Caenorhabditis elegans: one gene and its partner. The protein of the gene in region 2 purifies or fractionates together with the protein of the main gene of each other region. This does not show direct contact. Each region holds a gene or a part of one and is shown on either strand. Other genes may lie near its edges.

Region 1 (11,080 bases), on a different chromosome or scaffold from region 2:
AGAATATTAATGCAAAGTGGCCAATACCGGGGGTTACTGTACCTGTGCGACTTCCACATTCATTCGTCGTTTTTCCACTTCTTTTTCATATTGTAATTGTTCCATAAGATGTACCCATTTGAAACTAGAAAAATAAAAATTCATGTATATTTTCATGAATAACTTACCCAGATAAATATCTAATATTCCATAACATGCTCGACACTGGATCCTTATTCTTTCCACCAATCGGAGTGTTATCAATTTGTTCAGCAATTGCTTTTGCAATCTTTTTCTTTTTCAACTCCATCCATCCTTCTGAATATAGATATTGCGGATTTTTCGAGTGCTTGTTACGCTAAAAATATAATTTTTATGATTTCATTTGAAAAAAAAATAAGCTACCGCAAGGAAGATTCGACCAACTTGTCCAGGGCATCGCTTTTCAAAGTATTCACGCATTCGAACCACGTTGTATTTTGGAGGAATTGTTGAGAAGAAGACAACCTGAAAATTACTTTTTTTTATCTGTGGCCTCTAAAATAGTCTAAAATTATATTTTATCAACAATCCGAGAAGGGATCTTTTGAAGTTAACTAATCCTTCTGAAGAATTACTTAAAATTTTCTAACATTCTGATTGTGAGCAGAATATTTTTTGTTTTTTTAAACAAAATTAATTTTTAAAAGCGAAAAAAACCTGGAAAATTCTTTTAACCTGTCGGTAACTCAAAACTCATAAATTTTCATTAAAATTAGGAAAAAATTGGTATTTTTTTGCGCTTTAGACTCGGAATAAATTCTATACAGAAAAACGACACTCAGAATTGTAACTGTGCAAAGTGTTTCTATTTAAAAAATGCAAAAATGTTCGTTATAAGCTCTGCTTAAAAAAAACGATTTTTCATGTTTCCTTTTCGATTAAAAAATGTTTCGCTTTTTTTTATTTTTTCAATTACGAAAAAAACGTTTTTTTTCTAGGATTCAACCCTAATTCTCAGGTATTTTCGAATAAAAAAGTTAAAAAAAAACTTACACCAGTCTTCTTTTGTTTTTGTTCTGGATCCTCAAAAGTCTCCATTTCATCATCTTCTGATTCTTCTGTTTTAATTTCAGAATCGTCCAGATTTCCAGCTTCATCTTCATTATTATCTGTTTCAATGCTTTCCTCTTTTGGTTCAAGCATTTCTGAAAATTTTGATATTTTCGGATAAAAATTGCGAAATCAATTTATAGTGCAAGCATTAGTTCGAATATTCACCTTTTTCCTCTTCCATTTTCATATCTTCTTCTACAACAGGCTTTTTGATCGATTTTCTCACAATTTTCTTCTTCTTTTTTGGAATAGGCGCCATTTTTCCAAAATTTATAATTGCTCGAGATTTTCCAATACGTTAAAATCCTCAAAAATTTTCTACGTTTTTTTTTTTCGAAAATCGCACTGAAAACAAATCGGTATTTTTTGCGCTTTCAAGGCATAAACATTCAGAGATATAGAATTTTAGATTAAATACATGTATGGTTCAAATATAACTGTTTTGCGAAAATAGATTTATTAAATAATACAATGCAAAAAAATTAAGTTCGATGCATGAAAAATTAAACTTCGTAAAAATTAACTGGAATTGAAGAAGACATGAGGAAATTTGTATTCAAATTGTTTCTAAAATAATGTTTTCAAAAAAAAAATCTAGACAGCCTTCTTGAGCTCCAAAGCTGGCACTTCTTGATCTAAACGACTTCCTTTTCTACTGTGATGCAAATCCGATACCATTTGAATTCCAGCTTTTCTTGCCATCCTTCCAGCAACACTTCTTGGTCCCAAATCCCATAGTTGAGCAGCTGCAAGTGTTCCGTGTCCGGCAGCGAAAAGAGCATGATGAGTGGTATCTGATGCATCGTCTCCGTACTTGAGTTTCACGTTCTGTACAGTTTGATTCGCAATACTTCGGCATAGATGACGGGAACCATCTTCCAAACTCATCCAAACTGTGGCAACACCAGTGATTCCGCCTCCAAGAATTTCTGAAAATAGTAAAATAAAAATTATTTTATGGAAACCAGTTATAAGCCATACCAATGGTTCCGGATACGAGTCCTCCACTTTTTCCATCTCCAAATCGTCTTTGTGCACTATCTGCCAATTTCTTTCCCATCGAAACGCCCATATCTCCGATTTTGTCCACTGAAAATTTGAATTTTTAAATCCCTAATACTTGAAAAAATATTTGGCCAACTTTTCGTGTCCAAAATATTTTTCAGAATCTCTTCTCTACAAACTTCTCTCTTAAAGTCGAAAACTTACACAAATATCTTGTGCACTTAGCGACTGTCTTTGTTCCTTTATGCATATAAACTACACTTCCTTTGATAACTGGAGACACTTGCATTGGTTTGTCCGTTGCGATAAGTGTTGTTCGATACTGTTCTCCATTATCTTCAACTCTTGAAATCACTCGTACGGTTGTTGTTTCAACTCCCCAAGCTATTTTTTGACCTCCTTTGATCAGAAAATTCGAAATTGTTGTAGAAATCCTATTCTTCTCTTCTTTACTCAGTTCAGTAGATGGTTCAGCTTGTTCTTTGAAATCCGTGAATTCACGGAGAACAATGTGAAGTTCTTCAATTAATCTTCGCTCAATGTCTGATGATAGTAGGATTGCAACAGTCATGTCTGAAAATTACAAATTGAAATCTTTGAATGTCTGAATTTTTCCCACTTGGATTTTCTGGAGTCGGATTGGCAACCAAATATGCTCCGAATTCGTTACGAAGCACTGGAGTCTTTGCACCCATCAATGGATATGCCCAAGGCCCAACTTGCATGAATGCAAGTGTATCTGAAGAAGCTCCACCATCAGTTGGCTGAGGAAAACGGAGAATTTGAAGAGATGTTGGAGCAGTTGGAGCAGTTGTTTTTTCCCCCTGAAAATATAATAAAATTGTAGAAATATTTAGAAAACTATCTATAAAAGAAATTTAAACAAAAGAAGAAAACACTTACATCAATTGTGAAGAGTTGCACACCTTCCGGCAAAAAATAAATCAAGTCAGCTTCCTGAGATCCAAAGGAGTCGAGCTGCATTCTGATTGCTTCTTTCTGAAAAAGGAAAATGAATTTAATTAATTAAAATGAGTAAATACCTCGTTTTCAACACTTTCTTCAGCTTCCTTGATTTTCTTTGGAGTTGGTTGCTTTGGTCCTTCCTTTTTCAGAACGTTGATTCTATAAACTTTTTTTTTTTTCAAATAAAAAGTCGAAAAAAATAATGTGAACTTTAAAGGTACTTTTTCGCGGTTTTATCAACGTTTTTAATTCAAAATCACTCACCTATGCTGGACACTTGATTTTGATTCTTGTAACATTTTCCACATTTCACTTTTCCTCGCATTTTTCATTTTCTCTCCTTCGACGATCAAATTCAATCCTTTTTCGTACATTGCGAGAGTATTTTCCTTAAAAAAACAATTATTTTCAAAGTTTTCATTCAAAATAATAAACATACCCAATCATTAACCTCATCGTAGCATAATCCCTGTTCAATTGATGCATATGCTCCAGAAAATACTGCATCAACCTGAGCAGTATCAGGAATTCTCATAAATATCGAGAACATTGCTGAAAATTTGACTGAAACAAGTGATTCGAATGAGAAAAAACGGCACGAGTAAAAAAACATGCAAGAGACCACACAACAACAGCGAAAACAAGTTTAGTCGTCGGCGTCTCTCTTCTGAATTACTATCTCTGCTCAGTGGCTCGCTATGAGTCACAACAATTTCGAAATCCCGGCGCTAAGCGACTGTGCATAAACTATTTTTCAACGAAAAAGAGGCCAATAATAGAAAGTTTATCCGAGCAAAAAGATTCTAGAAGATAAACATCTTCATAATTCTAAAAAAGTCAATCAACGATCGGAATAGGTGTTGAGGATTTAATCTATTCGACGTAACGCTTGTTCCAGAGTGGGATGTACTGTCCGACGGTTTTCCATTCACAGAAGTAGATGGCCAAAAGGAAAGCGGATCCTCCGTATGCTCCATACGACTTGAAGCTGGAAGAAAATCATAGAACATCCTAACCGAATCCACGTTCATTGTGAAAATGTTTAAATTATTATAAACACTCAAAACAAATAAATTGCGAGTGTTCGCAGAAGACTAGGTAATTAAACCACAGCGGGCTGCTTTTTGTATTTTACAATTTGTATTTAGATGTGAAAGATCGGAATGAAGTTAAAAACTTGTGTTTTTGCGGTGGCAAGTATTTTCAATAAACAATCTATGCTTAAACTTCTTCGTTTTTAGTATTTAACTTACTAATTAGGGTTGGTGAAGGCGTTCTTCACGAAACGAGCTGGCTTCATGTACAGCATGATTCAACCTGATTAGTTTATAATTGTTCAGCTGGATGAGAATGTGCACATCAAAAGTAATTTGCGACAATAACGCAGTTTTCTTCTTGAATACTAAAAACTTCTAATTAAAACAGAAACATATTTTATTAAATTAGGTGTAACACAGCAAGAGAAACGAAACCCCAGGTGGCATTTTGCAACACAAATAAATTAATGGAAGGAATTGAAACAAATAAATACATATTAAAGCTTTTCAGAGTTTATCCCAAGAAGTTGACGACGACAAGATGGAGAATGAGGTTTGCGAAGATGAAATCAGCAAATGCACGTTCTGTCGAGACAGCTGTGAACTCGGAGCGGTTCTCTTGATTTACTTGCATCCTGAGACACGCTAAAACAAAATATTAACGTTTAGAATTAATTGCTTAAAAATACATTTATTTATTATCAATTCATTTGAGGGCTGAAGCGGGGGCCCATTGGAATTTCCAATGTTTATGATACGATGTGAAAATTGCAGTCCATCCGAAACTCAAATGAACATACAATTTATATTTACTTTATTTCGCTTAAGTACCAAACATTTTAAATCAGCGCAAATCTATTAAGAAACCCAGAAACCCTTTTTAGGAAAACAAAGATCACCGTTTTAACCTTTTATTACTGAAAACAATACTCATGTTGCCAATATACTTGAACCCAAATTTTTTGAATAAACAACTCACATGCTAAAACGAACGAAGTGACAGTGGAGATGAAACCAGAGAGGAACGAGTTGAATGGGAATGTACCGACGAGCAAGCAATAAATGAATTGAAAGATTCCGGTGAACAGGATGTATGTCATGTAAGCATCAATGATTTTCAGCTTCGATGATGTTGTCTTTTGGTAGTCATCGAACAGTTTCGAGAGAACTGGAACTACTTGAGCCGCCATTCTGTAATTAATTTAATATCTTTGAGATACAACAGAACAATAAGATAAAATATATTAGAAAGGAGCGAAAAAACATAAATTTTGAATTAGAAAATGCAACCTAGTTATCTTGAAACATGTTCATGAAAAAATAAAATTTAAAGCATTCAGACTTTTATTTTTGCTAGTATAATAAAAGAGAAATGTCTTTCATGACCTGTATTTAACGAATATAAATGTCCCGCAAAGTATAAATCCTTTAAAAATAACAATATTAATATTTAAAAAGCTTAAAAAGAGCAACGTGGCACAACAATCAAGTAAAAAGCGGCGGGCGGCGTTTAAAGGAGCACACATTTTTGCTAGTTGTTTCGCTGCGGGACCAAAGTCCCCGCCCAATTGCAACTCTGCGGCACGCACTTTTGCAGTGGCGCCGCACACTTTCATGTTTTGTTGATTTATTTTTCATTTTGTGAGACACGAGACGTTGAGGGCACTCGGCTGACATCAGAGAAGAAAGAAGAAAAATCAACGATATTTTGCCAATTTTTCCGCCCACAAATTCGAATTAGTGTCTGACCGAATGCCTTGTCATTAACATTCTCTGTACTCTTCATCCCCTATAGGAAATTATGCTCTACACTGTAATCAACCTCCTAGCGTAAGTTTCCTTTGAAATATTCTTGAAAAATGGTTTTTTTTCTAGACAAATCTATTGCAATGGACCAATTCTTCAAACTGTACAAGATTCACACATGTTTCCAGACTCGAAGCACTTCGTCGATATGTCACTAAAATATGATCCAAGTAAGGTTTTTGGTTTTTAATGTTGTTGTTACGTAAAAATCACATAACAAAACATAAAAACAATCTATCAAAGACGCTATCTTTATCACCTGAACCGGTTTTTGCAACGGAGTTGTAAATTTGAAAGGTCTTGTTGATTGTAAATTAAATCTTTGTTAAAAGTCAGGAAAGAAGAATATTTTCAAGCAGCTGACAGACACGAGCTTCCTCAAATTCAAAGAGCAATTAGAAGTCAGAGAATCAACTACTGACCTTTAGTGTTTTGGGAAAAAAATTGAAATCAGGCCATATCATAACTTTTTTGGTGGATGATGATTGGTAAAAAGATAATTGAATTACATCTTCCACCACGTGACTTTCGAAAAAGGAATGCTAAATGTTAAAATTGAATGAGGTAAGCAATTGAAAACGATGAGACCGGTTTTTGGGTTATATTTTGTGATCGAGATGTTCGAAAAACGAATGTTTAAATTTTTCTTTTTCAGTTACGACACTTCGACATTTCGACGAGCTTGGTGATCGAACTTCAGATATGATTATTTTAAGGGAATTTGTAACTTCACATTTTAATCCGCCTGGAAGTGAGCTGGTTGAATGGTTTCCTCCAGATTGGGTCGATTTTCCATCAAACTTTTTGAATATTCATGATTATCACCATAGACGATGGGCATTGCATTTACATAGGATTTGGAAAGATTTATGTAGAAAAGTAATCTTATTTTGCTTAATATTGATTGTAAATGAGCAATTTCAGGTTCGAGATGACGTCAAGCATCGTCAAGATCACTATTCACTTCTATATGTTCCTCATCCATTTATTATCCCGGGTGGTCGATTTTTGGAGTTCTACTATTGGTGAGCTTCATTGTTTCAGTGAATATAAAATATCGAATTATTTCAGGGATACTTTCTGGATACTCAAAGGGCTTCTCTTCTCAGAAATGTATGAAACAGCTCGAGGAGTTATCAAAAATCTAGGATATATGGTTGATAAGTGAGTTTTAGATTTCATATCCAAATTTGGAACATGATGCTGAACAGCTTCCGCGAATAATTATTTCCAATTTCCTTAATTTAGAAGATTTATTCACAGCTCAAAACCAAAAAGGAACTGTTTTTTTATTTAGAAAAAAGATTACGGAGACATCGTTACTCTTCAAAAATCCCTATCATTTTGACACTAGCATTAGTATGATAAGAATTGATTGATGGACTCATACTTTTTTCGAATTGACATGCGCCCATCATGTGACCTATTAAGTAAAGAATGTTCGTTTTTTGATTCGTATTAGGGAGTGGTGCTGGTGTCCTCGGTACAAAAGTAGGAAATTGGTAGGCTGCACATATCTGAACAAATATCGATGGAAATTAGACAATTTTTTATATTTGGGAATTTATTATGGAAGCGAAAATGTAGGTGAAACACCATAAATATTTGAAAGAAATGAGAAATTAAAAAAAAAAGAATTGAATAAAAATCAAGGCGCTAGTTTTTTTGGTGCAAAAAAGGAGGATAGATAACTGTTCGAATGTTTATTCTTTCAGTGGTAAAATGATCTACTGAATTGGCCACTAGAATAAAGTTCTCCAATTTGATAATAAAGATTAATTTCAGTCACGGTTTCGTACCAAATGGAGGTCGTGTCTATTATCTAACACGTTCCCAACCACCTCTATTGACACCGATGGTCTACGAATATTACATGAGCACAGGAGATTTGGATTTTGTAATGGAAATTCTTCCAACCCTTGACAAAGAATACGAGTTTTGGATTAAAAATCGACAGGAATGGTTCAAAGACAAAGATGGTGTCAAGCAGTTTCCATATTATCAATATAAGGCTAAACTCAAAGTACCGAGACCAGAATCATATCGTGAGGATTCGGAATTAGCAGAGCATCTGCAAACTGAAGCGGAGAAAATTCAAATGTGGAGTGAGATAGCGTCGGCTGCCGAGACGGGATGGGATTTCTCCACTCGATGGTTTTCTCAAAATGGAGATACAATGCATCGAATGGATTCTATAAGGTATCGAGGGTGTTGGTTTTTTGGTTAAAAAAAAATCTTTTTTTGTTAATTTTCTATACTTTTTTTTCCGATTTTTTGGTTTTCTGGATTAATCGAAAAAGAAAACAGAGAATTTCTGTGACATGCTGTCTTTACAAATTCAAAAATTACAGTTCCGAGGTTTTAATTCTAAATCAAATTCAGAACGTGGAGCATTATCCCAGCCGATTTAAACGCTTTCATGTGTGCAAATGCTCGAATTCTGGCGAGTCTTTATGAAATTGCTGGTGATTTCAAAAAAGTGAAAGTATTTGAACAACGATACACTTGGGCAAAACGGGAAATGCGTGAATTACATTGGAATGAAACAGATGGTATTTGGTATGATTATGATATCGAATTGAAAACTCATTCAAATCAATATTATGTATCAAATGCTGTTCCTTTGTATGCAAAATGTTATGATGATGATGATGATATTCCACATCGTGTTCATGATTATTTAGAGGTTAGTGTCACTCTAAAAAAAACGTATATATTGGGAATTTTCAGCGCCAAGGACTATTGAAATACACAAAAGGTCTTCCAACATCTCTTGCAATGAGTAGTACGCAGCAATGGGATAAGGAAAACGCATGGCCTCCAATGATTCATATGGTTATCGAAGGATTCCGTACAACTGGTGACATAAAACTGATGAAAGTTGCTGAAAAGATGGCAACGTCATGGCTTACTGGAACATATCAGTCATTTATCAGAACTCATGCTATGTTTGAAAAGTATAATGTTACTCCACATACTGAAGAAACTTCTGGAGGAGGTGGAGGAGAATATGAAGTTCAAGTGAGTATTTAAAGATGTAATTCCGAAATTCCACAAATGGAAAAAAAAATAATCAGAAAAATTGAAAAGTTTTTTTTCAAAAAGCGATTTCTCAATTTTGACTGAATTTTTGTTTGTTTTTTTCAAAAGTTAGATGATTCTTCTTTTTTTCTTTTCGTATTCCTAAATTTTGAACTATTCTGGATATTTTCAAGCAAAATCCCACTGAGAAAATAATGTAAATTAACAGAAAAAATTGGAAAAAAAAATCATTTCCAGACTGGCTTTGGTTGGACAAATGGCGTTATTTTGGATTTATTGGACAAATACGGAGATCAATTTGCATCCAGCTCTACAGCTTCCAAATTCAGTTTTTCCCTTTCGAATATCACATTTGTAGTTTTTATTTTGTATATTTTCTCATAGATTCCTGTAGAATTTGCACCTGATTTTATTATTTTCTGTTGTGTATAGTCCAGTTCCCTCATTTAGATCTTTTTTAACTAAAGAATCAAAAACATTGCCATAGCGATTGCCTTAATTTTTTTGTTTTAAATATCAAACTCACATTTTGCTTTTTCTCATCCGGTCCAACCCCCCATTTTCAGATTATAACGATTGTTTTCTTTCGGGTTCTTTTTTTCCTTATTTTCAAAAAACCTTTTTTAGTTCATAAAATTTTTACTTATACCAGTTCCTTATACCAGTATATATTGGTTTTTATGTCACGCAATTCTAATGTAATATATTTGATTTATCATCAAATTTCCCAATTATAGAAATTAATTCAAGATATGGGAATCACTGGATTATGGAAAATTGTAGAACCAACGGCAACAGAGATTCCTTTGGAATGTTTAGAAGGAAAAAAATTGGCAATTGGTAAGCTAAAAAACAAATTCAAAACTATGTAAAATTGTTTTATTTCGTATATTTAAGTTTTCATGTATTGGGGTACTGTACTTTTCACTTTTATTCTGACATTACATGTTTTGTAATTTTTATCATTTTTTCAGATGTTTCAATTTGGATCTATCAGGCTCAACTCGCATATCCATCGGATCAACCGTTTCCACATCTGCGTCTCCTTGTAAATCGTCTCTCTAAACTTTTATTCTACAAAATTCGTCCTGTTTTCGTGTTTGATGGACCACAAGTACCACCTCTCAAACGTCAAGTCTTAGAAGCGAGACGGCAAAAAAGACAGAATGATGATGATATTCTTAAGAATTCGAAGAAAATGGGAAAATTAAAGGTGCTGAAAAAATCTCAAAAAATTAGGGTAAAATTAATTTATTTAGAACTTCATGAATTTTTCAGACAGCGAAAAAATAACAAAATTTTTCCATCAAAAACATGACGAAAAACAACGAAAAAGCTCTGTTCATGAAGCAAGAATACGGCGCACGGTCTCGAAACAACCGAAAATTTTCTTTGAAAAATACTCCGAAAATGGTTATGCGCCTTTAAGTAGTACTGTAGCTCCCGTTTCCTATTTTTTGCAATTAAATTTTTGGTTGTTAAAAGACAAACTAGATTTTTTTTGTTTTTTAAAAGAGCAAAAAAATGAGCACACTCTTCACGATCTTCATTAAAATATATCGATTCGTTTCAAGACCCGGCTCTATATTCTCGCATCAATTTTTTTGAAGTTTTTAACTGTTTAAAAAGTTTTAAATTATTTCCAAATTCTTTTGTTAAACCAATCAATTTTCAGGAAATTGCCAGTGGTGGTCTTGATGACGTGGCACTTGCGAATGCAATCAAAGAAGTTATAAGTCCATCGAAAAAAGTAATTCTGAACGACATTTATAAGGATATTCCCTCAACAAGCACATATTTGGATAAACCTTCTGCACATCAAAATGATCAGCTTGTTTATGGAAATATTGAAGATTCAGATTCAGATGATAGTGATATTATTATTGTACCTACTGTAAAAGAAGAACGAATTTCGAAACAATTTACTTCTCGGAAACTGGAAATTCAAAGTCTCGTGGAAAAAAGAGAGATCATGAGAAATAGCAGATTACGGCCTGATATGGTTGGATTTTATCTTTTAAAAAAGTGTTTTTACAATAAGCTAAAACGATTTTCAGATTCCACAAGATTCGAAAAGTTTCAGCAATTTTCAAATGCAGCGTCTACTCAGAAGAGGTCGTCTGAATGCAGAAATTGAACAAGTAACTTTA
Region 2 (11,634 bases):
CTAGATTATTTTTTTTCCGTTGATCTAACGAGAATAACGAATAACAACAACATATTTATATTGAAAACTCGGAGTATTCGACTAACACTTCCATTTCCGATAGCAATTATCACTTTTATTCTTCGAACTATTGTATAGAGTAACCTTTAAATTTTGCAGATGAGAGAGACTCTCTTAGCTATCCTATTAATAGTTTACGTTTCTGCAAGACCACAAAAAGATCCAAGAGGGCCGAATATCATAGACGATAATGCCGATTTTGGAACACCAGAGCATGACAATCGAGTACATACCGAGCTAACGCAATTGGTGAGTGTTCTAGAATCAATTAAAAATTATGTTTCATTCCTAATGAAGCTTTAAGACAGTCTCAAGATCGATATCGGTTTTCCAGACCGATAAGGAAGTCGCTCAGTTGATTGGATCCGACTATTTTAATGGAAGTGTTCTACCATGTGATAATGAAACAGCGCCTGGACAATGGATGATCTACTGTAGTGGTAAACTTCTACAGACTGTCATGGCCGTCCAATTGTATCCGGATTCCAAGACTTTTGTGGATCAGCCAATGAAAGAAAATCAAACTGGAAAGTCTATTATGGAGCATTTTGAAAAACGTTTCCCTGTTTCTATTGAGAAGATAACCAAGAAAGATGTTGCCGAATTTGTTGATGAATTTTTCGATAAAGAAGGCAACGAGTTAGATGTGTAAGTTGACATAATTAATTTCGAAGTTGTAATATCCAAGCGTGTGTTTTCAGTTGCGATCTTCCTGACTGGAGGCCCATTACAGAACAATTGGCTAATATCAAAGATGCTAGCTATCAGGCCTTTGCTCAACGACTTCATTTCATTTGGATTCAACTTTGCCGCCAGATAAAGCCAGAAGTGAAAAATGATCCATCTCGTTTCTCTCTCATTTATGTGCCATATCAGTTCATCCTTCCTGGAGGAAGGTTCCGTGAATTCTACTATTGGGATGCATATTGGATACTCAAAGGGTTAATCGCGTCTGAACTGTATTCAACTGCAAGAATGATGATATTGAACTTCGCACATATAATTGAAACGTATGGTTTTGTGCCGAACGGAGGCCGAGTTTATTACCTTCGAAGATCTCAGCCACCGTTTTTCGCACCAATGGTATACGAGTATTACTTGGCAACTCAGGACATTCAACTAGTAGCAGATTTGATACCAGTTATCGAAAAAGAGTACACATTTTGGAGTGAAAGAAGAACTGTTAATGTGACCTATGAGCATCCGGACTTGAATGAAACACTTCACATGTTCCAGTACAGAACAGAGGCTGAAACTCCAAGACCTGAAAGTTTCAGAGAGGATGTACTGAGTGCAGAACATTTTACAACAAAGGATAGGAAGAAGCAGTTTTTCAAAGACTTGGGAAGTGCGGCAGAAAGCGGATGGGACTTTTCGAGTAGATGGTTTAAAAATCATAAAGATATTTCAACTATTGAGACAACTAATATAGTACCAGTGGATTTGAATGCCTTTCTTTGCTACAACATGAACATTATGCAATTGTTCTATAAACTTACCGGAAACCCCTTGAAACATTTGGAGTGGTCATCTCGTTTTACAAACTTCCGTGAAGCATTCACAAAGGTATTCTACGTACCGGCTCGAAAAGGATGGTACGACTATAATCTTCGGACACTCACCCACAATACTGACTTCTTCGCATCCAATGCTGTACCTCTATTCTCGCAGTGCTACGACCCACTGAACTCTCAGATTGCAGTGGATGTGTACAATGAAATGCAGAATTCTGGGGCGTTCTCAATACCCGGCGGAATTCCAACAAGTATGAACGAGGAGACGAACCAGCAATGGGATTTCCCAAATGGTTGGAGTCCAATGAATCATATGATCATTGAAGGACTTCGCAAGTCTAACAATCCAATTCTACAACAAAAGGCGTTTACTCTTGCTGAGAAATGGCTGGAGACTAATATGCAAACATTCAATGTTTCCGATGAAATGTGGGAGAAATATAATGTAAAGGAGCCACTGGGAAAGTTGGCGACTGGTGGAGAATACGAAGTTCAGGTTAGTAAGGTAGAGGAACTACGAAACCTAAAAAATGATCATTTCAGGCCGGATTCGGTTGGACCAATGGTGCAGCACTGGATTTAATTTTCACATATTCCGATCGACTACAGTATAACGGGCCGATATTAGAATCATTGGTCGGATCACAAACGACGTCTATGAAATCGTCACCAGATTCGTCGACATCTCTACCAATTGATATCACCACTACCATCACGACATCATCATCATCCTCTACTTTCGGGTACAGTAACATTCTCACACTTATTACGGTGTTTGTATTATATATTTTATAGATTCGATTGTTTTTATAGGAATTATTTCAATTGTACATTTAATTTTTGCAAACGGGGTATTACTTTTCTCTATATATAAAGCTTTCCTATCCTATTTTTGTGTTTGTATTGGTCTGTGGTATTTTTCATGCTAAACTTAGCGGCAGAGGAGCACTGAATTGGAAAAAAGTGGCTCTGAAAATGTTTCAATGCATTTTTTCACAACTTTGAGGTCCGTAAAATGGCTCTAAATGTGAATTTTTTGCAGATTTTGATGATTTCCCGGATGTTTAGGGGCCGGCTAACATTCAGATTTTTTTTGAAATTTTTTTTTAATTTTCGAAAAAATCTGAAATTTTGCCACGGATTCAAAAAATTTCAAACTAAAAAAAGAACGTTTTTTTTTATTTTAAAAAATTCCAAAAAAAACTTCTGAATGTTTTTCTTCAAAATAGTTAACCACCATACGAAATTTTTGAAATTTTTTTCATTAAGCTTACCTCTTCCGGTTTTTCCAATGACTCCAAATGACCAGCTTTCGTCAATGAAAACACGAACTTTGAATCGCCATTTGAACTCGATAATCTTGGGAAGTGGGCAAAGATCCGCATAATTTACATAGAGGCCTTCAACAACAATGAATCGCCGTACAGACTTGGCCTTTTTCGGGTCTTTCTTGTCTCTTTGTTCTTGTTCCAGTAATAACCTCTCCAAGTGCTCCATGTCGTTATGCTTGAAATATTCAACACGACTTCGTGATGCTTGAAGACCTTTTTGGATTGCAAAGTTAACACCTTCGTCAACAAAGATGACATCTCCCTTTTTAGCGTATGCGGGAATTGCTGAAGATACTGTAGCAAACCCATAGCTGTACAGAACAGCCTCCTCACATCCCATAAATCTGGAAAATAAATCTTTAAATTAAAATTTGTAACTATAGTAAGTTGTCTCTTTATAACTATAGTAAGTTGCCTCACTTTGCCAATTCTTTTTCAAGGTCCAAATGAACATCAACAGTTCCGTAGAATCCACGTGGCCCGCACGATCCTACGCCGTACTTGAAAATCGTCTGTTTCGCACGGTCTTCAATCCGTTTGACTCCGATAAAGCTGAGGAAATTTGTTGATGCCATGTTGAGATACTTTTCGCCATCGATCGAAACATCCTTTGTCATTTTTCTGCAATTTGGGGGAATGAATATGTGAAAAAAGCCTAAAAACGAGTAAAACTCACCCATCAGCATATTTTGGATTCAGTACAGGATGGTCTTGTGGTGTTTCAGGAACCAATGGTTCCGGAGTCCAATCAGCAATTAATTCATCTTTCTGCCTTTCAGTTAGTTTCTTTGAAAGTTTTTCTTGTTGACGTTTGGATCTGTTCCGCATGACAACATAGGCAAGAAGTGCAACGAGCAAAGTTTCAATGTAGAAATGCCACGAATCTGGTAGAAATCCCATGTTTAGTCTGAAAGTAATATAGGTAACACGGGGTGCTGTCCCATCGCGGTTTGATCTACAAAAAAATGCGGGAATTTTTTCTCCAGAAAAATGCGACGTCAGCACACTCTTAACCGCACAAAATCAGTTGAGAAGTCTAAGTGTCTAAAATCCCACAAGTCTTGGAGGTCAAACCGAAATGGGGCATTCCTACACCACGTGAGGTATACAAAATTGTAAAAAGAGGTCGGAGCTCATGCTCATGTGCAACACACAAAAGAAAGAACGAATAAGAACAGGTTGCTAGGTCAACACCACCTGCGTCTCTTCAGTTATGCAAACTATTTCATGTAGGCTTTCAATGAACGTATTGTCGTTTGATATTTAAATGTAATAGCTTTAAAAATACAAGTTGTATTCTATCAGTTTTCCGGTCAATTATTAGGTTTTTGCAATAATGTTAGAATTACAAGAAGAATTTAAATAACAGAGCGTAACCTTTAAATAACCTTTAAATTAGTTTCAAATAGAGTCATAACATACAATTTACAAAATAGGAGAAATGAACCGAGAAAAGTGAGTAGTGTTGAGTGTTTTGTGCACCTTGTGTCTGTCCATCACCCCATATTTCTCGATATCTTTCTTTTCTCTTCTGTCCTTTTTCTCCTTTTCTTATCGATTCTTATTGGTTTCTAGTTGAAAATGATGGCACCTTTATGTGTCATTACATGGAATTTGTGTTCAAAAACAATTAAAGGCAAACTGCCGGAATGAAAACTTCCGGCAAATCGGCAAATTGCCGGAATTGATATTTTCCGACAAATCGGCGAAAGGCCGGAATTGAAAATTTCCGGCAAATCGGCAAATTGGCGGAATTGAAATTCTCGGCAAATCGTCAATTTGCCGGAATTGAAATTTCTGGCATATCGGCAAATAGCCGAAATTGAAAACATCCGGCATATCGGAAAATTGCCGAAATTGAAATCTCGGCAAAACGGCAAAGTGCCGAAATCGAAAATTTTCGGCGAATTGCCGAAATTGAAAAAATCCGGCGTATCGGAAAATTGCCGGAATTGAAATTCTCGGCAAATCGTCAAATTGCCGGAATTGAAAATTTCCGGGAAACCGGCAATTTGCCGAATTTGTCAACAAAAAAATTTTCTGAACGACAATCGCCGCCCACCCCTGATTTTTTGCGTTATTAAAATTATTTTCCTAAAATTTTGCAAAAAAATTTAATTTATCTTTCTTTTGAAAATCTAACTTTTTCCTGTCTGCAGGCAGGTGAGTAAGCACTTCTTTTCCTGAAATTTTCGAATTTCGAAATGAAACAATTCAGTTTCTAAAGTTTTCGTACTTCAAATTTCCTACGAAACGGAACTTTATTGGAGTCATTGCCACAGCTGAAATTTTCCCGGAAAAAAACTATTTAATGCTATCAGTTAGCGGGAGCAGACAGAGACGGGAAAAGATAAAAATCAGAGTTTCAAAGAAACGGCCAGAAAAAAAATAGAATGTTCGACGGTCCAGGGAAACCGTCTAAAAAGAGCAACTGAAACTTAAAAATGTATATATATTTTAACAACAAATTCATAAATGAAGAATCAGCAAATAACAATAACAGTATAATTAAGACTTTTTGCGGAAATATTCGCTATTGCAAACAAGATACGATAATCAAGGCCGCGCCAAAATGTGATGTACCTTTAAGAAATACAGTATTTCAAAAAAATAAGTGCGTAAGGAGACAAAATTCCTATTTGGGTTACTGTATCCAAATGGGCTACTGTAAATGCAGAACAATAAATCGCTCCTTTCACTTTTTATTCATCTTCTTCTTTTTCTTCCTAGGTAGTCCAGCAGCATCTTGTGAGCTATTTAGAATATCCATTGTCGCTGATAAAAAACTAGTCGTCTTCGTTATTTTAGTAGAAGATTCGGCAACCGGATTCATTCTTTTCAACTTATTTTTAATTTTTATGGATTTTGAAGCAAACAAATTCGGGGAAAACAATATAGCATCTTCGTCGCTTTCAATTTCAGGTATTGATGAACAGGATTGACCTAAAATTGGATAATTCTAGTTACTTAGAAGCATATTAGAGACAAAAACCTGTCGTATTCAAGAAGCTCATATCTTCTCGTGAAATTGAGATTCCCAAATCTGACATGTCCATTTGCACGGAATTGTTCGTCTTTTTCTTCTGAAGCTGCGTAGAAATTGGAGAACTCAAATCAGCGGCAAGAATATCAGTTAGAACTTCTGATCTGTAATATTTTTTTAAATAAGTTCTTCAATGCCCTGTGGCTCGGGTTTTTGGCGAGCAACGATTAAATTTTTAGATTTCGAGAAAACTGGAGGTGTACGGTAGGATTACTGTAGTTTCGTTAAAAAATAAATGTTCGTCTTTTGAAGGATAATTGGCTTGGGCTAGTAAGGGGAATATGGTCGGGGTACTGTAATTGTAATTTAGGGGTTTTTTAGGAGTACGTACGTAGGAGTAGGAGTAGTAGTAGGAGTAGGAGTACGGTAGGATTACTGTAGCTTTTGAAAAATTGACTTTTCGTCTTTTGAAAAGATATTGCTTTAGGGTAAGTGGGGAATTTGGCAGGGTCTATAATAATACTGTGGTGAACAATTTGGCAAAATTTCATATTTTTCGAGAACACTTTGACGGGAATTCAAATTTCTTTGGAAAAATGTGTGCGGGAATTCAAACTTTTTCAGAAAAATTTTGGAGGGAATTCAACTTTCTTTATAAAATTTTAGCAGAATTTGAATTTATTCAGAAAAAATCATTTTCTCATTGAAATCAACCTATTTTCATATATTTATAGATAGAATTATTTTTCTGATCAATTTTTTTTTCTAATTTTTAATAATTTCCGGCCATTTTGTGTTTTAATTTTTTTGTTGAAAAAATCAATTTTTGCCAACCTACGTTTTCATTCTCAAATCATTCTCCGTTTGAGCTTGCTTCATTGTTTCAGCATTATACTTCAAAAGACGGCTGATTGCTGTTAGATTTGAAGTTTCCATTCTCCTTTCATCGAAGATTCTTGACTCGTGCCTAATCTTCCGTACAACTTCTAGATCATTAAGTTCTTTCGGAAATTTCAAATCGGCTGTCATCATCACACCGGCTGCTATTTTATACACTTTTTCCATTTCAAGCACTTGAGCGACAACTTCTGAATGAATTTGTGAGCAAAGAGCCACAATAACAAGCGATAAATTGATCCAATGGTCAATTTCTAGTAATCCAATAGCTCCGTCAGCACACTTTACACACGATTCACGAATTCGTTCAAGCAGATAGACTCGTTTGACATAGGCACATCCCATATATCGAACAGCTTTTATTTCCAGCTTATACACGTCGTCACCACCACAATTTTCAGCTTTTCTCAACTGTGGATTCAATCTTTTGATTAATGACATTTCATTGTATTTCTTGACGAGTCTGCTCATTTGACGAAAATGTCCAAAAAACTTCTGATGACGATGCGGACCAGTTTGTTTGTAGATGAGCCACTGAGCAATAGCTTCTGCTTCGGTGTTTATCGGATTTTTGAGTTGGCCAACAATGCTTTTCAACAAAAAGTGCATTGTTCGAGCGGTCGTTGTATCCTTTGTGGGCTCACGTTCAAAAAAACTACCAGGTACATCATTTGAAAATTCATCCAGCATTTCTGAAATCAAGATGTTTGAAATATCCTGGTAATTAGAGGAAATTACGGTTAAAGGTCGAAAATTAAATACCTAATTGAAAATATAGTTTTTTTTTAAATTTGATATTCTCTCTTGAAAAACACCGAGAAAAAACGAAAAAATAGGCAAAATCAAATAATTTTTAATTTTTCTTCGGAACCCGTGCCAAACAATAAGACTTTCTTGTGATTTTTTAAAATTTCGAAATTCGATTTTTATTTGTTTAATTCAATATTTTTCTCAAAAAAGTAAAAATCTTGATTCTAGAAATTATATTTTAGATCTACATTTAGAAATTTCAATTATTTTTATTAAACTATGCATACCAATGAATACATCATCATTTTCTGCTCCTTCCTGTCCTGGGTCTTCGTTAGAAAACATATGCCTGTAACAAAGGTAATCAAATTAAATTTGAAATACAAATTATTAGAAATCTGATTGGTGTTTGAATCCGAATCCCTCCAAAAATCAAGATAGAAAAAAATAAAGATTATAACGGAAATTCATAACAAAACAAGTTTAACGATTTTAGAAAACAAAACAAAACAAATTTGAGGAAAACGAAAAGATTTAAGAAAAAATAAGTAAAATATTTATCGCCGAATGATCTTTCTGGGCCCTTTCTGTTCCAGACTCGGAGGTTTCAAGAGAATCGCGGCACGGAGGGAACGAAGAGTTTGAGCAGACGCCACATCGAGACGAATCAGGTCTGCACCTAGTGCTTGGAACATCTGAAAATGGGGCATTTTGGTGAATAAAACTCTTGTTGGAGTTCTTTGAAAATGTGCTTAATTTTAGAGAATGTTTAGAGAAAAAAATAAAATAAATAATTTCAAAATTATGCGTACGCGAATCTTGTAAAAGTAAAAGTACGCGAATCTTTCTATCACGTTTCATGCACAAAATTGGGTTCATTTTTTCTGGATTTTAGACTATTTTAAACAATTCAAAGCAAAATTTTCAAGTGGGATTTACCTTCTCAAGTTTACTAGGCTGATAACTAAGAGCTTGTTGAAATGGAGTAATCGGTACTTTGTGCTCGGGTGCCAATGTCAATGCCAATGCAAGTGTGTGCGCGATAAAACGATCATAGTCGGTAACATTGAGACGGATTCGTTCGGCTCCACGTCCAGTGTACCCCTTCTCATTAGTACTATCATTGAAAAACTGGGCCTGAACTTTCTGTCGGAGAATATCGGGCATCTTTAGCTCACTCAAATCTTTTCTCAGCAACTGTCTTTGCTTTCCCATTTTTGTGAGGATCTCGATCATGGTGGAGAGTAAAAGATAGGCGGCTGCACGTTGTTTGGTCTTTTCATTGTACATAATAAGAGTAACACACTCTGGAATTCCAGCTTCAAGTTTCTCTTTTTTCTTCTTTTCCATCAGTTCAGTGGCGATCGATTCAATTGCGTCAATCTCAATGTCTTCAAGGAACAAGGAAATTGGATAGATATCTCGTGAAAGTTCCGTTTGAACAGCAGGTGGAAGAATTGATGATTCGGCTTTATTCATCATTGTGATATTCTCCAACTTCACGTCAGCAGCACCATCCTCAGTTTTAACGTTCGAATTCGAAGCGAACGCGGTCTTTCTCATTTCGTCCAATGTTTCTTGATTAATAGTTCTTCGTTGAGCTGCTTCATCCATTTTAATTTTCTTCGAAGAACCAAAATTCGATGTCAATTGACGACGTTTCTCAGCCCATTTCTCTGCTCCAATTGAAAAATCGTTTTTGTATTCTTCAGACGACGATTCCTTCTTGTCACTGAAAATCTTCTCAATGTCTTCTGAGAACTTGCTTTCGAATGAATAGAATCGTGCAGGACGATATGTTGCTTCTCCAGTTCTCTGTAAGTTTTTTTAAAAAATATTCTTATTCAAATACATAATTCGATATTCCTTCAAGAGTACACAAAGGTGGAGTACAGAAATCTGAGAAATATTATTAAATGACTCCAAATTTTACCTTGAACCCGAAAATCTGTGTGAAAAAAATTCAAAGATTTTCTATATTCTATATTTTTTATATAAGCTTGAAATGGCGAATTTCATTTGTGCACCACCCATGAATAACTTTTTTCGCCTCAGAGACGCCATGTGTCGATTTACGAAATTTTTAATCTATATCGGATGCTGATTTCCGTTTTTCATTGATTAAAAAAAAATTTTTGGAGCGTTTGAAAAATCTCAAGGGTTCACAAATGAAATTCGGGGATTTCAAGCTGAAATCCAAAGTCAGTGAAATTTTTTTTTGATAGATTTTCGGAATCAGGGGAAAATTTGGAGTCATTAAAAAATATTGGTACTAGTCCTAAATCACCCCGCCACTTTTTTTATTTGTGTATTATTTCCCCTCATTTTAATATTATTCATTTTAATAAAACGTGATGTCCATTTTCCATCTTTAGGCTTAGAAATGGCTATTTCCTAAGCCTAAAAATACAAAAACTCCACACGTTTTTATTTGAAAAAAAAGAAAAAAAGTGGCGGGGTGATTTAGAACTAGTACCAAAATATTTTTCAGGTTTCGGTACTCAGCCTTTGAAAGAGTGAATTTGTTAGCTAAAATACACTCAAAATTACCTTATCAACCAAAGCAACAGCAAAATCGAATCCCTCATCAAGACAATTAACATCTGCCCCAACTTCTACAACATGCTCGCTAATATCTCCTTTTACGCTGAATATTGGCGCTTTTTTACGTCCTCCTTTTCCGTGTCTTTCGAATGTCAGCTAAAATGGATTTTTATTTTCATTTGAAAGAAGGTGCTTTAGAACAAACGTTTTTCAAATCTTTTGGCCGATTGTGCACGAATGAGGCAACGATATCAGAATCTGCAAATTCTTTGTTGGATTCCACATTTCTCACGTGGCAAGCCGTCTTCTTCGCACTCAGCTCCTCACTTGACAACCACATTTCGCCTCAAATTTAAAGATTTCAAAGTAAAAGCCTGTAAAATGAAAAACAAAGAAATAAGAAAATATATGAATGTGCATATGAAACACAGTATTTTTAGACAAAAAAGGTATAAATTCAAGCTTTTAAAGGGCGCCAGGCGCCACGAACTTAATTTTAATACATAATATAAGCAAGAAAATATTATTATAAAGATCAATTGTGGTGAGATCGGTTGACTGAAGAATTTGAAGTTCTCTGGTGAAAGTCGGAATGCATGTTGGGATCTATAAAAGGTTAAAAATTGCACAAAAATCATATTTAGGAAAAAAACCGAAAACCTTGGAAACTGTCTTCACTCATATGGCCTGGGCCGTTTGTGGAAGTTGTTGGCACCGTTTTCGGAGGTAGAAAGTCGATGAGAAAATCGAACTGATCACTTTTTTGCACTGCGCTTGCTATGTCGGCTTTTTGAAGAATTCGTCGCCTTGCTTCTGACACGTATTGCCAGCCCATTGCGGTCATTTCTTCAATGAAAAACTCGGCTGCTTGAGCCATAAATATCGGAGCATCAGACGCGATCATCTGTAAAAAGTGTATGAAGATCGGCTGGAAAATGACACTACTCACAAAGTTGCGAACATCGTCGTCTATTCGCATAATCTTTTTCACTCTAGCCATGGGAACGCTCATGTTTTTCGACTTGTTCAGCATATCCTCTTCAGAAATCTCAGTCATTTTCTGTTTTTTTTCACGCCAGAAATCTTCTGTCATTTGTCTCATCGAGGCGTACTTTGCCGGTGGTATCGCATCATTGTGATGGATTAAATTATTATAAGGATGAACCGCACCTTCTACAATAGAAGGCATATTTATTGGATGCATGTTCGGCTAAAATGAAATAAAATAAATAAGTTTTTAAAACGAGTTGATTTTATTCACCGTGTAGGGATGTTCCATGAACACTTCTGATTGATTTGTCCCATCATTTTGTATGTATTCGGCAGTTTCGTTGTTTTCGGCGTGTAAAAGCTGAAATAAATGAAACATTTGCTGGGAAGTCGAAAATTTTAAATTGTATTACTTACATTATTGTCTAAAACTTCTGGGAATTGCGACATCACGGCAGATGCAAGAAAAATTAACTTTAAACTAATTAGAAAAAAATAAATTAAAACAACACTATTCTTCTGTCGTGAAATATTGTGCATTGTGTGCACGTACACCGAGGCGGAA

What was found.
Region 1: the proteins of sptl-1 (region 2) and ucr-11 fractionate together in Caenorhabditis elegans (co-fractionation; one large-scale study listed by BioGRID). This does not show direct contact.

Annotation. Positions count from the first base shown.
Region 1 is NC_003279.8:6,549,018-6,560,097, forward strand, and holds ucr-11 (Cytochrome b-c1 complex subunit 10), read right to left. Parts: upstream 4,363-11,080; 5' UTR 4,355-4,362; coding exon 4,299-4,354; intron 4,034-4,298; coding exon 3,919-4,033; 3' UTR 3,817-3,918; downstream 1-3,816. Other genes in the region: F57B10.8 (Activator of basal transcription 1), read right to left, coding at 43-124, 168-337, 385-486, 1,015-1,166, 1,240-1,333; spg-20 (Inheritance of peroxisomes protein 1), read right to left, coding at 1,669-2,003, 2,056-2,163, 2,284-2,652, 2,699-2,903, 2,983-3,078, 3,123-3,204, 3,310-3,434, 3,485-3,595; Dolichyl-diphosphooligosaccharide--protein glycosyltransferase subunit dad-1, read right to left, coding at 4,597-4,727, 5,062-5,272; tre-1 (Trehalase), read left to right, coding at 5,884-5,912, 5,958-6,058, 6,544-6,767, 6,813-6,913, 6,960-7,052, 7,674-8,087, 8,271-8,574, 8,619-8,909 and 1 more; xpg-1 (XPG (Xeroderma Pigmentosum group G) DNA repair gene homolog), read left to right, coding at 9,683-9,770, 9,905-10,143, 10,606-10,932, 10,988-11,071.
Region 2 is NC_003280.10:43,830-55,463, reverse strand, and holds the start of sptl-1 (Serine palmitoyltransferase 1), read right to left. Parts: upstream 3,813-11,634; 5' UTR 3,806-3,812; coding exon 3,582-3,805; intron 3,527-3,581; coding exon 3,326-3,526; intron 3,250-3,325; coding exon 2,849-3,249; intron 2,464-2,848; exon of another isoform or gene 2,370-2,463; coding exon of another isoform or gene 2,118-2,369; intron 2,071-2,117; coding exon of another isoform or gene 762-2,070; intron 709-761; coding exon of another isoform or gene 395-708; intron 310-394; coding exon of another isoform or gene 160-309; intron 1-159. Other genes in the region: tre-5 (Trehalase), read left to right, coding at 160-309, 395-708, 762-2,070, 2,118-2,369; C23H3.5 (Nucleolus and neural progenitor protein-like N-terminal domain-containing protein), read right to left, coding at 5,601-5,848, 5,898-6,052, 6,727-7,477, 7,823-7,880; rpoa-49 (RNA polymerase I associated factor, A49-like protein), read right to left, coding at 8,093-8,230, 8,475-9,350, 10,086-10,235, 10,285-10,419; Nuclear transcription factor Y subunit nfyc-1, read right to left, coding at 10,615-10,685, 10,740-10,983, 11,029-11,289, 11,341-11,430, 11,487-11,519; rpt-4 (putative 26S proteasome regulatory subunit 10B), read left to right, coding at 9,332-9,352.